Xenopus tropicalis: one gene and its partners. The protein of the gene in region 3 binds, or shares a complex with, the protein of the main gene of each other region. Links are inferred from orthologs where the notes say so. Each region holds a gene or a part of one and is shown on either strand. Other genes may lie near its edges.

Region 1 (4,316 bases), on a different chromosome or scaffold from region 3:
AGACCCCTTATCTGGAATACCCTTGGTCCCGAACATTCTGGATAATGGGTCTGTAGGGACCCATAGGGTTAAGCTCCCTATGGTGTTATCCCTTATTCTTATCTAATCTGTATTGTTATAGGGCAGAGCCCTCTGATATCAGGTTACTGTTATTAGGCTGCCCTCTATAGGTTTAGCCCAGGTTGACCACTCCCCTTGGCAGACTATATAGTATCTTGCTCAAGGGAGTGTCTTCCTCTTTTGGCTGCATGCTGTGTTCTGGACAGATCCCAACTGAGCCTGGACCAGAACATAGGCCCAGAAGCCATTTGTACCCTAGGGGACCACCTACCCTAGTGATAAGTCGGGGACAGGGCCCCGTGAACGAGGTAAAGCCAGCACAGTCAGTTTCATTTATAGCACCCTCTAGGAGAGGTGATTGTAGTCAGACTATTTAGCAAGGGCAGTCAATAGCCCCAACCAGGAGTTGTAACAAAGGGTTTAGTCCACCCCGGCTCTGTAGTCGTTCTTTAGGGACCGGTTTTATTAGACGCCAGGTACCAGTGTTAGGAGCTCTCCCCTGGACCACAGTCGGCCGGAACACTCCCTTCTGAAAGGTCTATATCTCAGGTGTCAACTAATCCTCTGTGCATCCTCCAAGTGGGTTATTCTGTGCCTAAGTGTCACCTTTGTATATTCCACGGTGATCACACATTCTATACTGCTGTGTCTGTGAGTATACCCTGCTGCACTATTAAGCTGTGCCTTTGTCCAATAAATTGTACTATAGTTCATGAGCAAGAACCTTTCTGGCGTCCATTATTCCATCTGCACCACACAAGCTCTTACCTAGTTGTAGTTCAACTACACCCTCAGCTCCATTAATACCTCCCATATAGCGGAGGCCCACTCCTGTGTATTAAGGTCGCATGTAACACATGCTCTATACCTATTACTAGCCTGGGTTGGCCATTTTATAGCCAAATAGGTGTTACAGGTCTTATACCTGTACTTACAAAAGCAGCATTAGCATGACCTATAGGTAACTTTCATTGTACATTAATATTTTGAAAAGTAGTTTTTTAGTGTCAGTATCACTTTAATGGCTCATAGAAAAAATTATTCTATCAAGTGAATTTTCTCATTCAAACTTTGCAGGTATCTCCCACATTAAAAAAATACCTGGATTTGGAAATTTATATCTATATCTAGAAAAACAACTGCACTGAAATTCCTGCCACTGCAAAGAATTCCAAAGAATACAAAGAACCCATTACAGCAGCCAACAGTGGAATTATGTGTACACACTTATCCTTCATGCCCTGCTTTGTTATTGGCTTAGGAAATTTCTAGTGCACATATATCCCAGGCATGCAGATAATGCAAGAAACCTTTTCCCAGTTGATTCAATTTCCTAATCCATACCAATAAAGTTATATGAAGAAAAAAAGAGAGAGCTGTAGACAGGCGTGACAAAAGCCTCCAAAAAAACAGAATCAGCAGCTGCTGTCTGGCCGAGGAACGCTCACAGCATCTGCCTCTTAATATCGCGTAATCGAGCCTTTGCAGCAGCAGCTGAGCAATATTACAGCACAACGGAGGAACCCTGCTGTGCTGGACATTTCTGTGGCAGAAGAGAAAGAAGGTAAGATTCCTTTTTTTCTTGCATCTGATATATAATTTGCTGCAGCTAAAGGAAATGGCTGATGGACTTTTTGTTTAAAACAGCTTGTGTCACAGGCACATTCAGAGAGTGGGAAATCAGAGCCGCTCTCCTAGAGAGACTGGCAGAATGACCACGACAGAGCTTGCCATGACCTAGGGATAAAAAAAAGCATCCTTTGTTTAATGTTTAGCAAGCCCTGTGATGCTCTAATTGCCATTTGTCACTTGCAGTCATATAAAAAGCACAATAGGAAGCAGCGGTTGTTTCTCAGGGAGGAAAATGAGGTGTATCGGAAATTACAAGTCTTTTGCCTCTGCTCCTGGTAATTGACATAAAACAGTAGGGGTCCGTGTACTGTAGGAAAAGAACTAAGCAGAAATCTCAGTCCATTTGGTTGATGATTAATTATTGAGCCCATACAATGTCCCTGTTTGCAGCATGAGTACAGCAGGAACATTCCTAAGAGCTATTTGTCCATAAAGAGGGTACCAAGTAGGCCATGCATTGTTGCCAAGCAACAGCATCTGCCATCTTCTTAAATAACATAACTGTTCATGCCAAAAAGGTAATACAGGTATAGGACCCATTATCCAGAATGCTCGGGACCAAGGGTATTCCGGATAAGGGGTCTTTCCGTAATTTGGATCTCAATACCTTAAGTCTACTAAAAAATCAATAAAACATTAATTAAACCCAATAGGATTGTTTTGCATCCAATAAGGATTAATTATATCTTAGTTGGAATCAATTACAAGGTTCTGTTTTATTTCTACATAGAAAAAGGAAATCAGTTTTAAAATTCTGAATTATTTGATTAAAATGGAGTCTATGGGAGACGGGCATTCCGTAATTCGGAGCTTTCTGGATAACGGGGTCCGATACCTGTATAATGAAAACAACCAAATATCTAGTATAAATAAATTTAAAGCTACTGGACTTGTTTGGTAGTCCAGTTGCTTTAAATTTATTTATACTAGATATACCATGACCTGGATGAATGAAAATCTTCATAGACAAAACAACCAAATGTTTCTGAGAAAAACATTGGGTATCTGGTATTATCTGCTTCAGTGTCTTTAGTGTTTAGTTGTATGGATTAAATGACTAGTCTTAGAGATTGGGGATTACACAGCGTTGATTAAGGAGCAAGGTTTATATGAAATGTATCTCACATTCTGAGATGGATTAAGATCAGGTTAAGGACTCAAGAACTGTAGTGATTTGGGGGCTCAAACTTCCACTGTCCCCACATTATTGCCTTGCTGCTGCCCCTGGAGTACTGGAGTACTGGGGCCCTGGGTAGGAATCTGGGGAACCTTGTGCATAATCTGGCTCTGCAAGGAAATTAAAACATATGGATACACTAAATCATTCCAACTATTTTTCATATGAAGAAAGATCAAAGCGTTATTTAACTTAAAAAAGCCCTTTAATTACATACAATGTTATAATATTATATATAATATAATATATATATAAAGTTATTATACAATAACACAATAAATCCCTGAATTGCCAGTTTGCACTGGCCTAGCAAGTAGGGCCCTGTTTCTTAACCTTGGGTCCCTAGATATTGCTGGACTACAGCTCCCAGCATTAACTAACATGTTAAAATGGTTTAATGCATCCTAGGAGTTGTAGTTCAGTAACATTTAGGGACCCAAGGTTAGGAAACAAGGCACTTAAAAAGTTAATTGGTGTCCTGGGATTCTTTTAGCCAGTAAAACCTATGGCTTCTATAAGTTATTTGGTGTTTCTTAAGGTGGCCATACACGGGCCAATTGTAGCTGCTGATATCAGTCCCTTGGACCGATTCGGTAGCTTATCAGCTCGTGTAGAGGCACTAACGACGGGCCTGCCCGACTGATATCTGCCCTGAAATTGCCCAGATATCGATCGGGCAGGCTAAAAGATTTAGTCGGATCAGGGACCGCATTGGCTCGTTGATGCGGTCCCCGAACCGACTGTGCCATTTCCGCCATTAGAATTCGATCGTTTGGCCCCCCCCATCAAATTAGCCTACATTTTCCCGATATCGCCCACCTGTAGGTGGGGATATCGGGAGAAGATCTGCTCGCTTGGCGACCTCACCAAGCGAGCGGATCTTAACGTGTATGGGCACCTTTAGAGTGCACACCATGGCGTGTGTGAAATAACTTTTCATTTTGTACAAAGACCTTCTATTTTCCAGTCTACAAATTAATAGCAAATTGAGTTCTTGGAAAGGAAAAATCATGAAATGAGTTATTGACACAAAAGTGTAAGTGGAGTACAGTAACCCTGGTGATTATTACAATAACATGAGCGATATTTGTTATAGTCATGTATCCCACAGCAACCAGAAATTTGCTCTTATCATTCTCACTGCACTAGACTGGTCTCCAATCACTGCTGATCCATAGCCATGGTTTACTGCAGTGCTGTCCAACTAATTCAATGTACTGGGCCAAGTATTTCTCATATAGCATGTTCAAGGGCCAGATTCAATTAAAATGATGATGTCTTACAGTAAGGTCTGTAAAGCATTTAAAGAGGAACTTTTGAACCAATATTTGTTAAAGAGCCCCACAAAACACAGAAACTCCTAATACACCTATCACTGTAACCTGTTCCTTCAAATGTATGAATAAGTTCCATCTTGATATGCTAAAATCCAGCGGCAAAACAGCTC
Region 2 (4,120 bases), about 31 Mb from region 3:
ACTATGGCACATAGGGATTCCCCTGTACTAAGCACAATTCAGCAGGAGCAGCCCCCTAAGTTTGCCCATAGCCTGTACAGAGAGATACCGTAAAACTATGGCACATAGGGATTCCCCTGTACTAAGCACAATTCAGCAGGAACAGCCCCCTAAGTTTGCTCATAGCCTGTACAGAGAGATACCATAAAACTATGGCACATAGGGATTCCCCTGTACTAAGCACAATTCAGCAGGAACAGCCCCCTAAGTTTGCCCATAGCCTGTACAGAGAGATACCATAAAACTATGGCAGCATAGGGATTCCCCTGTACTAAGCACAATTCAGCAGGAACAGCCCCCTAAGTTTGCTCATAGCCTGTACAGAGAGATACCATAAAACTATGGCACATAGGGATTCCCCTGTACTAAGCACAATTCAGCAGGAACAGCCCCCTAAGTTTGCTCATAGCCTGTACAGAGAGATACCATAAAACTATGGCACATAGGGATTCCCCTGTACTAAGCACAATTCAGCAGGAACAGCCCCCTAAGTTTGCTCATAGCCTGTACAGAGAGATACCATAAAACTATGGCACATAGGGATTCCCCTGTACTAAGCACAATTCAGCAGGAACAGCCCCCTAAGTTTGCCCATAGCCTGTACAGAGAGATACCATAAAACTATGGCACATAGGGATTCCCCTGTACTAAGCACAATTCAGCAGGAACAGCCCCCTAAGTTTGCCCATAGCCTGTACAGAGAGATACCATAAAACTATGGCACATAGGGATTCCCCTGTACTAAGCACAATTCAGCAGGAACAGCCCCCTAAGTTTGCTCATAGCCTGTACAGAGAGATACCATAAAACTATGGCACATAGGGATTCCCCTGTACTAAGCACAATTCAGCAGGAACAGCCCCCTAAGCTTGCCCATAGCCTGTACAGAGAGATACCATAAAACAGTATATATTCACCCTTTGTTGGGCCCCTAACGCTGTTAATTTCCAGCAGTTGCTTCTGTACGTAGCCTATAGCGCATTTCCCACAGACACTATAGGTGAGTGCTTACAGTTAGTACCAATGCCCTGACCCTATCAGGCTCCCGTACAGTTCCGGGGAACTCTATTTCCCAGCAGCAGAAATCTCAGTAAGTCATTAGCGCATGCGCGGTACAGTCACTAGGAAGAGCCGTAGATTGAGCCGCAATCGCTTAATGAGCAGCCGTAAAGCAATCCCGTGTGCCCGGGAGGAAATGACGTTGCGGAGAGACGCGTGTAGTTTGGAGCATGCGCAGTGAGGGCGCTGGGACTGAGTGCGCATGCGTGAGGGCTCCCATGCCGTAGACTGGGGGCGCAGGCGCAGTGGGGCTGCTGGTTCCTCACACACTGAGAGACTGAGAGAGCGGGGAGCTTGGGAGCCTCAGTCTCCAGCGATGGACGAGCAGGTACCGGCTCTGTGCGAGCAGCTTGTCCGGGCGGTCACTGTTATGTTGGAGCCCGAGTCCCGTCAGGAATATCGCCTGGAAGCGCTCAAGGTACCGGTACCGGCTGGGTAATGGGGACTGGGGGGATGGGGTAACGTGGGGTTATATACAGGGGCAGGTAGGAAAGGGGGGTATTAGGGGCTGAGGGAACAGTGTGCAAGGTTTGTGGGGCAGTGAGACCAACCACTCACTCACTCACACACTCACACTCACTCACACTCACCCACTCACTCACTCACCCTCACACTCAGTCTCACACACTCACTCACCCTCACACACTCACCCACTCTCACACTCACCCACTCACACCCACCCACTCACTCACTTACACTCACTCTCACACACTCACACTCACCCACTCACTTACACTCACTCTCACACACTCACCCACTCACTCACTTACACTCACTCTCACACACTCACCCACTCACTTACACTCACTCTCACACACTCACCCACTCACTCACTTACACTCACTCTCACACACTCACACTCACCCACTCACTTACACTCACTCTCACACACTCACCCACTCACTTACACTCACTCTCACACACTCACCCACTCACTTACACTCACACACTCACACACTCACTCACTCTCACACTCAGTCTCACCCACTCACTCTCACACTCACTCACACTCACCCTCACTCTCCCTCACTCTCACACACTCACTCACTCTCACACTCAGTCTCACCCACTCACACTCACTCACCCTCACACACTCACACTCACCCACTCACACACTCACTCACTCACACTCACCCACTCACACCCACCCACTCACTCACTTACACTCACTCTCACACACTCACACTCACTCACTCACTTACACTCACTCTCACACACTCACTTACACTCACTCTCACACACTCACACTCACCCACTCACTTACACTCACACACTCACTCACCCTCACTCTCACCCTCACTCTCCCTCACTCTCACTCACTCACTCTCACACTCAGTCTCACCCACTCACTCACTCTCTCACACTCACCCTCACTCTCCCTCTCACACTCACTCACTCACACTCAGTCTCACCCACACTCTCACACTCACACTCACTCACTCTCACTCACTCTCACACTCAGTCTCACCCACTCACTCACTCTCTCACACTCACCCTCACTCTCCCTCTCACACTCACTCACTCACACTCACCCACACACTCACTCACCCTCACTCACACTCACTCTCTCTCACTCACTCTCACACTCAGTCTCACCCACTCACTCACTCTCACACACACTCTCACACTCACCCTCACTCACTCACTCTCTCACTCACTCACACTCAGTCTCACCCACTCTCTCACACTCACTCTCACACTCTCATTCTTACTCACCCTCATACACTCACTCTCACACACACTTACACTCACACACTCACTCACACACACTTACACTCTCACTTACACTCACTCTTACTCACCCTCATTCACACACTCATTCATTCATTCACTCACACACAGAATCTATTGTTATTTAGTCAGCATTTACCCTTACAGGCCCCCCTCCCATACTGCCCCAGTGCTGCCCCTGATAATGAAGTGCTGCACAGAGGGTTTGGCAGTTGTTGCCCAGGCCTGGGGGTGAGTGCCAGGCAGTAAGGGCCACTCTATCCTGGCCCCCTGACAGCTGGGAGGAACATGTAGGGGCAGACATGGCCGCTGCACTTTATTCCCAGGTACGGCTAGCAGGGCAGCATGGGGTCTGGCCCAGTCCTGTTTGGGATGGGGGTCTGGAATTATATTTGTCACTTTTACTGATTTTATTTATAAACATATATCCCCACCCCCCCCCCCACCCCCCGGTTACTGAGGTTTATTCTTTTCTCTGCTGCCCCCCCAGTTCTGCGAGGAGTTCAAGGAGAGAAGCCCCCTCTGTGTGCCCTGTGGCCTGCAGCTGTCCAACCGGAGCCATTCCCCCTGCGTCCGGCACTTCGGCCTGCACGTCTTGGAGCATGTTATAAAGTAAGCAGCAGTCTCTCTCTGCCCCGTCTGTGCTCTCCCTTCTGCCGCCGCCGCTGTCTCGGTACCGTACTAATGGTTACTGGGTCCATGGGAAAGGTCCAAATGTATGAATGGATTTTCTGTTCCCTCCAATCAACTTGAGCCCTTCTAGTTTCCCACAACAAACAGACAGGTTAATTGGCTCCTGATTAAATTGGCACTAGTGTTTGTGTGAATGTGATAGGGGCCTTAGATTGTAAGCTCACTGGGGCAGGGGCTGATGGGAATGGGATAGGGGCCTTAGATTGTAAGCTCACTGGGGCAGGGACTGATGGGAATGTGATAGGGACCTTAGATTGTAAGCTCACTGGGGCAGGGACTGATCGGAATGTGATAGGGACCTTAGATTGTAAGCTCACTGGGGCAGGGACTGATGGGAATGGGATAGGGACCTTAGATTGTAAGCTCACTGGGGCAGGGACTGATGGGAATGTGATAGGGGCCTTAGATTGTAAGCTCACTGGGGCAGGGGCTGATGGGAATGTGATAGGGACCTTAGATTGTAAGCTCACTGGGGCAGGGGCTGATGGGAATGGGATAGGGACCTTAGATTGTAAGCTCACTGGGGCAGGGACTGATGGGAATGTGATAGGGACCTTAGATTGTAAGCTCACTGGGGCAGGGACTGATGGGAATGTGA
Region 3 (4,041 bases):
CCTTCCAACAGGCGTGTCGCAGTGGATGCCAAAAGTTTACATGTAATTTACACATTAGATTTTTGTATCAACCTCATTATATTTTGATCCAGATGACTACAGTCAACTTGTTGGATGCGTTTTGACGATCTGATATCATCCGGCAAAAGTCCTTGTGGCCCTAAAGCAGAGACCCTTCAGGAGTTCTGTTAGGCCTATGGCACATGGAAGTGTCTACTTTGCCAGTGTTTAACAGCAGGTGAAAAGCATCTGACTGTAAGCTGTTAAGCCTGCCATTTATTTTAATGGAATCTTCATCCCTACATTGGTCACACGAAAGATTGTTCCCACCCTCCACTGACGTTCAGGGCTGAATCATCAGATATGGAGGTAGAAACAATGGATGTTCAACCTCCACCTGCCAATTCAGCCCTGAATGTAGATTTTACTTGGGCGCCTTCAATATCTGCAGCCTTTTGCGAGATCGGTTGCCTGTTTGAGCCGCCATACAGGCACCGAATGTCAATAGCGCTGTGTGTATGGCCGGCTTCAGTATGTTTGTCCAGTATATAAACCAATTTATTGCACAGCACCGCAAAACATATTGCTTTTCCCAGGATCTCAAAGGTTTAGTTAAAATTTGCAACATGGTCCAAATGCATAAGGCCTTTTTTGACCCACCATTATTTCTGATTTTCTATTGTTTTGTGCTCCCTGACTAGAAGGATTTGACCTACTGAATCTGATGCATGTATTGCTAATCCACATCTGCTATTACACATAAAATATAATAACGAATAAAGGCAAAAAGCCTGAAGCGTTTAAGCAAAAAAAAAAAACCCACCCTCACATGGCGCAGTAATGCCATTGATTTACTTTAAGCAGCTCCCAAAGAAGGAAAACAAAACGTTAACAACACGACTTCTGCTCGCCTTACGCACTGCATTGAACTCAAACAGCACATTGGCGGGGAAACTGGTCCTGTTTCTACGGTAACCAAACCTTGCCCCTTGACTGGCATCCTTTCTCCACCAATCAAAATTCAATAGCATCCCTACATCGTCATCGCTCCATCCCACTCCGCCTTCCACAGGCACTTCGCGGCAAAGGCCTTAAAAAAAAATAAAAAAGAGAAAAGGGGCGGCTCAAGCAGACATTGACGGACGCCACCCCCGACCAATAGCCGAATTCACGCGAACAGACCTGGGCCAATCAGGCGCTCTGCTGGGAGGAGTTGCACAGGTTTCCAAACGCTCGGCGGCGCCATGGGCTTGAGAACTCAACGGAGATGGAATGTCCCAGTCTGAACCGGTTTCAGCCGGTTGTTAGTGTGTGGCATTAGAGCTGAAGAAGCGCCTCTTTCCAGCCTCCAAGCCCTGCTGCTCCGCGCGTTTACGTTGGAGGGCTAAACAACAGGTAGCAACAGAAAGGATTTCGTCCTGTACAATGTGCAAGGGCCCCGACTGAGGACTACTAGCGCCAGCAGTGAAAAAGCAAGCCCGTCCATTAATTACACCCCCAGTATTTACATTTTCCTCCTCCAGTGGGTGTGAAGAGCAAGCCCCCTGCCTGGGCCTACGGATCTAATCCTGCTTCCCCTTCATCTCATTGCTTTTGGGCCGTGTCCCTCATTCACTGGGACACATTATTATTTATATTCCTTTTTTTTTGCCAAGGCAATAAAGCAGCAATACGTTTGAGTGGTAAAATTCTTACTGAGAAAGGGTAACCCGCCCATACACAGCCCCACGCATGTACATGTGTCTGGGGGTGCGCTACTGGTAAGAAGTGTATCATTCGTTGTGGGGGAATATTCTGGTGGATTACTGAAAAATAACAAAATACAGTTTGAGCCGTCACCCTCCTGCTCCCCCTTTACTTCAAGTGGTTCAGCCCCATTCTCTCGTATTGTGCTGAGGAGAAGGCAGCTCCCCGCTCTCGGTAAGTGCAACTGGGATGAGGCCCTAGCTGGTGTGTGTAAGGGCTCTGCTGAGTGTGTGCAAGATGTAGCTCAGAAACTGTTGTTGAACTATAACTCACAGATGGGAAAGTGAGAACTAGTTAAAGAACAGCTTTAGGACTGCAGTGTTGGTTCACCCAACTCATTGGGTCGCCCTACAAACGTATGAGAGAAAACAAGAGTGTAAATGATTTGTTTATTAAAGAGTTGATAAAGCTGTAACATGTTTAGGAATGATAACTTATTTTTTCTTTTAACTACAGACTTGAAGAACCAATTTTTAAGCAGATCCTTTATGTGTTGTAACAAGGGTTCTTTTCTCTTTCACCTGAGCTCTGGCTGTCAGGGAATGCTGGGAACTGGAGTGCAGCAGCTTGCCTTGTTACACCTACCTTTTTCTCATTCAGCTTCAAAGACTTTAACATAGTTATTGGTTACTTTAGGGTTCTGCTTTGCTTTCAAAATTATGTTATTGTTGTTGTTTTAATGTTTTGGATGCAAGCTTTGAGTTGTAGTCTGGGAAAATCTTCAGCATGTAAGATCCATGATGTTTTTTTATCTTGCAATAATGTTGCTGTTACTGGTTTTGGGAAGTAATCGGATAAAAAATGGTAGTTTTATCTTTTACTCCTGCTTTTTCCATGAAAGCTGTTTTGCTGTTGCCAGTACCAAAACCAGCTACTGATCTCCATGTGACTGCCCCCCCTCAAAAAAAGAAACAAAGTATTTACACCATTGTGTATCTAATAAGTGTGCCTGTTGTGTGTTAGCCCCCTCTTCTACTGTTTAGACTGGTTTGTGTAATTCTGCATGAAGTGTGTCCACGTAGGTTTAGTGAATACTTCAGTAAAGAGAAAAATGTGATTCTCCCTCCTTTAGAATGTATGAGTTACATGGCCCATGCTATTATCCCAAAAAACCAAAAGGGGGGGGGGGGGGGGTGAAATGAGTGAGACGGATCAGCCCCCTCTGTTTGAATGAATCCTCCTCCTCCTCTTAACAAGGCATGGATGAGTAGGCCTCATGTCTCAAGGGGACTTCCGTTGCAATGTAGGTGTGCTTTGGGGAGTAGGTATTCATCTAGGTGACACAGTCCGACTTACTGGGGCTCCTGTTTTTTTTCTTTTCTTTTAGTCAGTTCTTGGTAGAGTGGAAATTTCCAGAAATATTAGTGTATAGTATGGAGAGGTCTGTGAATGTCACGTGCTGAGGAGGGAGGGGCAGCTGGGAGAGGCTGCTATGTATGACATGGACTCACTATAGCGCAGGGCTTTTACTACTACTACCCGGATGATTGCCTTTATATTTGACCCTGTGAGCCTTTCATGTTGCTAGAATGTATTGTACAGTGAATCGTTCACATCCTAAACTGATTGTATGAAAAATACTGCCTATGCTACTCAGTTTGTGAACTATCATACTTTTGTCTTAGCATTGTAATGTGTGGATTTTTTTTTTTCTTTTGCTTCAACATTTTTAACTTGTGCTTTAAGAATTTTATAGCTGAAATGGAGTTGTGTGGCCTTTGGTCCCGAGTGCTTATAGTGCTTGTTGAGAACACTGCTGCCTTGTCATGTGTGAATGAGCAAAGGAGATGTTTACCAATACTGAAAGTATAACTAAGAACTACAAGCTAAACTAGTTTTTATGCTGTAGGAAATATTGCTTTAATGCCTTAAGTGGAATGGAATTAAGGCATGCTATGCCTTTACATCCTGCCTGTAGTGTATTGGCACTTCTGGTTTATCTGTACAGCTACATTTCCTAAAATTATGTCATTAAGTAGAACATTGTATGTTCGTGCAAATAATGTAACTAATTTGAAATTTAGTTGATACACTTTTTGTTGTATAGTGTTTTTTGTTGTAAAGTGTTTTGCCAATGCAAAGCCAGTACAGGAGTGTTTATGTAATGTGGCCATCTTTGAACAGTTGCATTATGCTCTATGATCTTCAGATTTTGAATTACCAGAGTAAGCTTTAAGCTTGCTCTAACATTCAGGTTATATAATAGGTGTATTTAAAGTCTCCTTCACGTTTAGTTTAAGACAAAGTACTGCAGAGCTACCAGGTTTAGAAATGTATACCAGGAATCATGCAGTT

What was found.
Region 1: the proteins of xpo1 (region 3) and pkia are in contact, whole or in part, in an NMR structure (PDB 2L1L), measured with the Homo sapiens proteins. The link is inferred for Xenopus tropicalis from reciprocal best matches to the Homo sapiens genes XPO1 and PKIA. Residues at the interface, in NP_003391.1 of Homo sapiens: Val518, Lys522, Leu525, Cys528, Glu529, Lys534, Lys537, Ala538, Ala541, Ile544, Phe554, His558, Lys560, Phe561, Thr564, Lys568, Phe572, Glu575, Thr576, Val580; in NP_006814.1 of Homo sapiens: Asn36, Leu38, Ala39, Lys41, Leu42, Ala43, Gly44, Leu45, Asp46, Ile47, Asn48, Glu51.
Region 2: xpo1 (region 3) and xpo5 share a complex: the UniProt entries of both Homo sapiens proteins name them as parts of the nuclear export receptor complex. The link is inferred for Xenopus tropicalis from reciprocal best matches to the Homo sapiens genes XPO1 and XPO5.

The regions. Positions count from the first base shown.
Region 1 is NC_030682.2:123,166,168-123,170,483, forward strand, and holds the start of pkia (cAMP-dependent protein kinase inhibitor alpha), read left to right. Parts: upstream 1-1,500; 5' UTR 1,501-1,624; intron 1,625-4,316. UniProt on the Homo sapiens protein: Extremely potent competitive inhibitor of cAMP-dependent protein kinase activity, this protein interacts with the catalytic subunit of the enzyme after the cAMP-induced dissociation of its regulatory chains.
Region 2 is NC_030681.2:2,540,466-2,544,585, forward strand, and holds the start of xpo5 (exportin 5), read left to right. Parts: upstream 1-1,256; 5' UTR 1,257-1,300; coding exon 1,301-1,516; intron 1,517-3,319; coding exon 3,320-3,441; intron 3,442-4,120. UniProt on the Homo sapiens protein: Mediates the nuclear export of proteins bearing a double-stranded RNA binding domain (dsRBD) and double-stranded RNAs (cargos). XPO5 in the nucleus binds cooperatively to the RNA and to the GTPase Ran in its active GTP-bound form.
Region 3 is NC_030681.2:33,543,376-33,547,416, forward strand, and holds the start of xpo1 (exportin-1), read left to right. Parts: upstream 1-1,168; 5' UTR 1,169-1,395; exon of another isoform or gene 1,396-1,920; intron 1,921-4,041. UniProt on the Homo sapiens protein: Mediates the nuclear export of cellular proteins (cargos) bearing a leucine-rich nuclear export signal (NES) and of RNAs.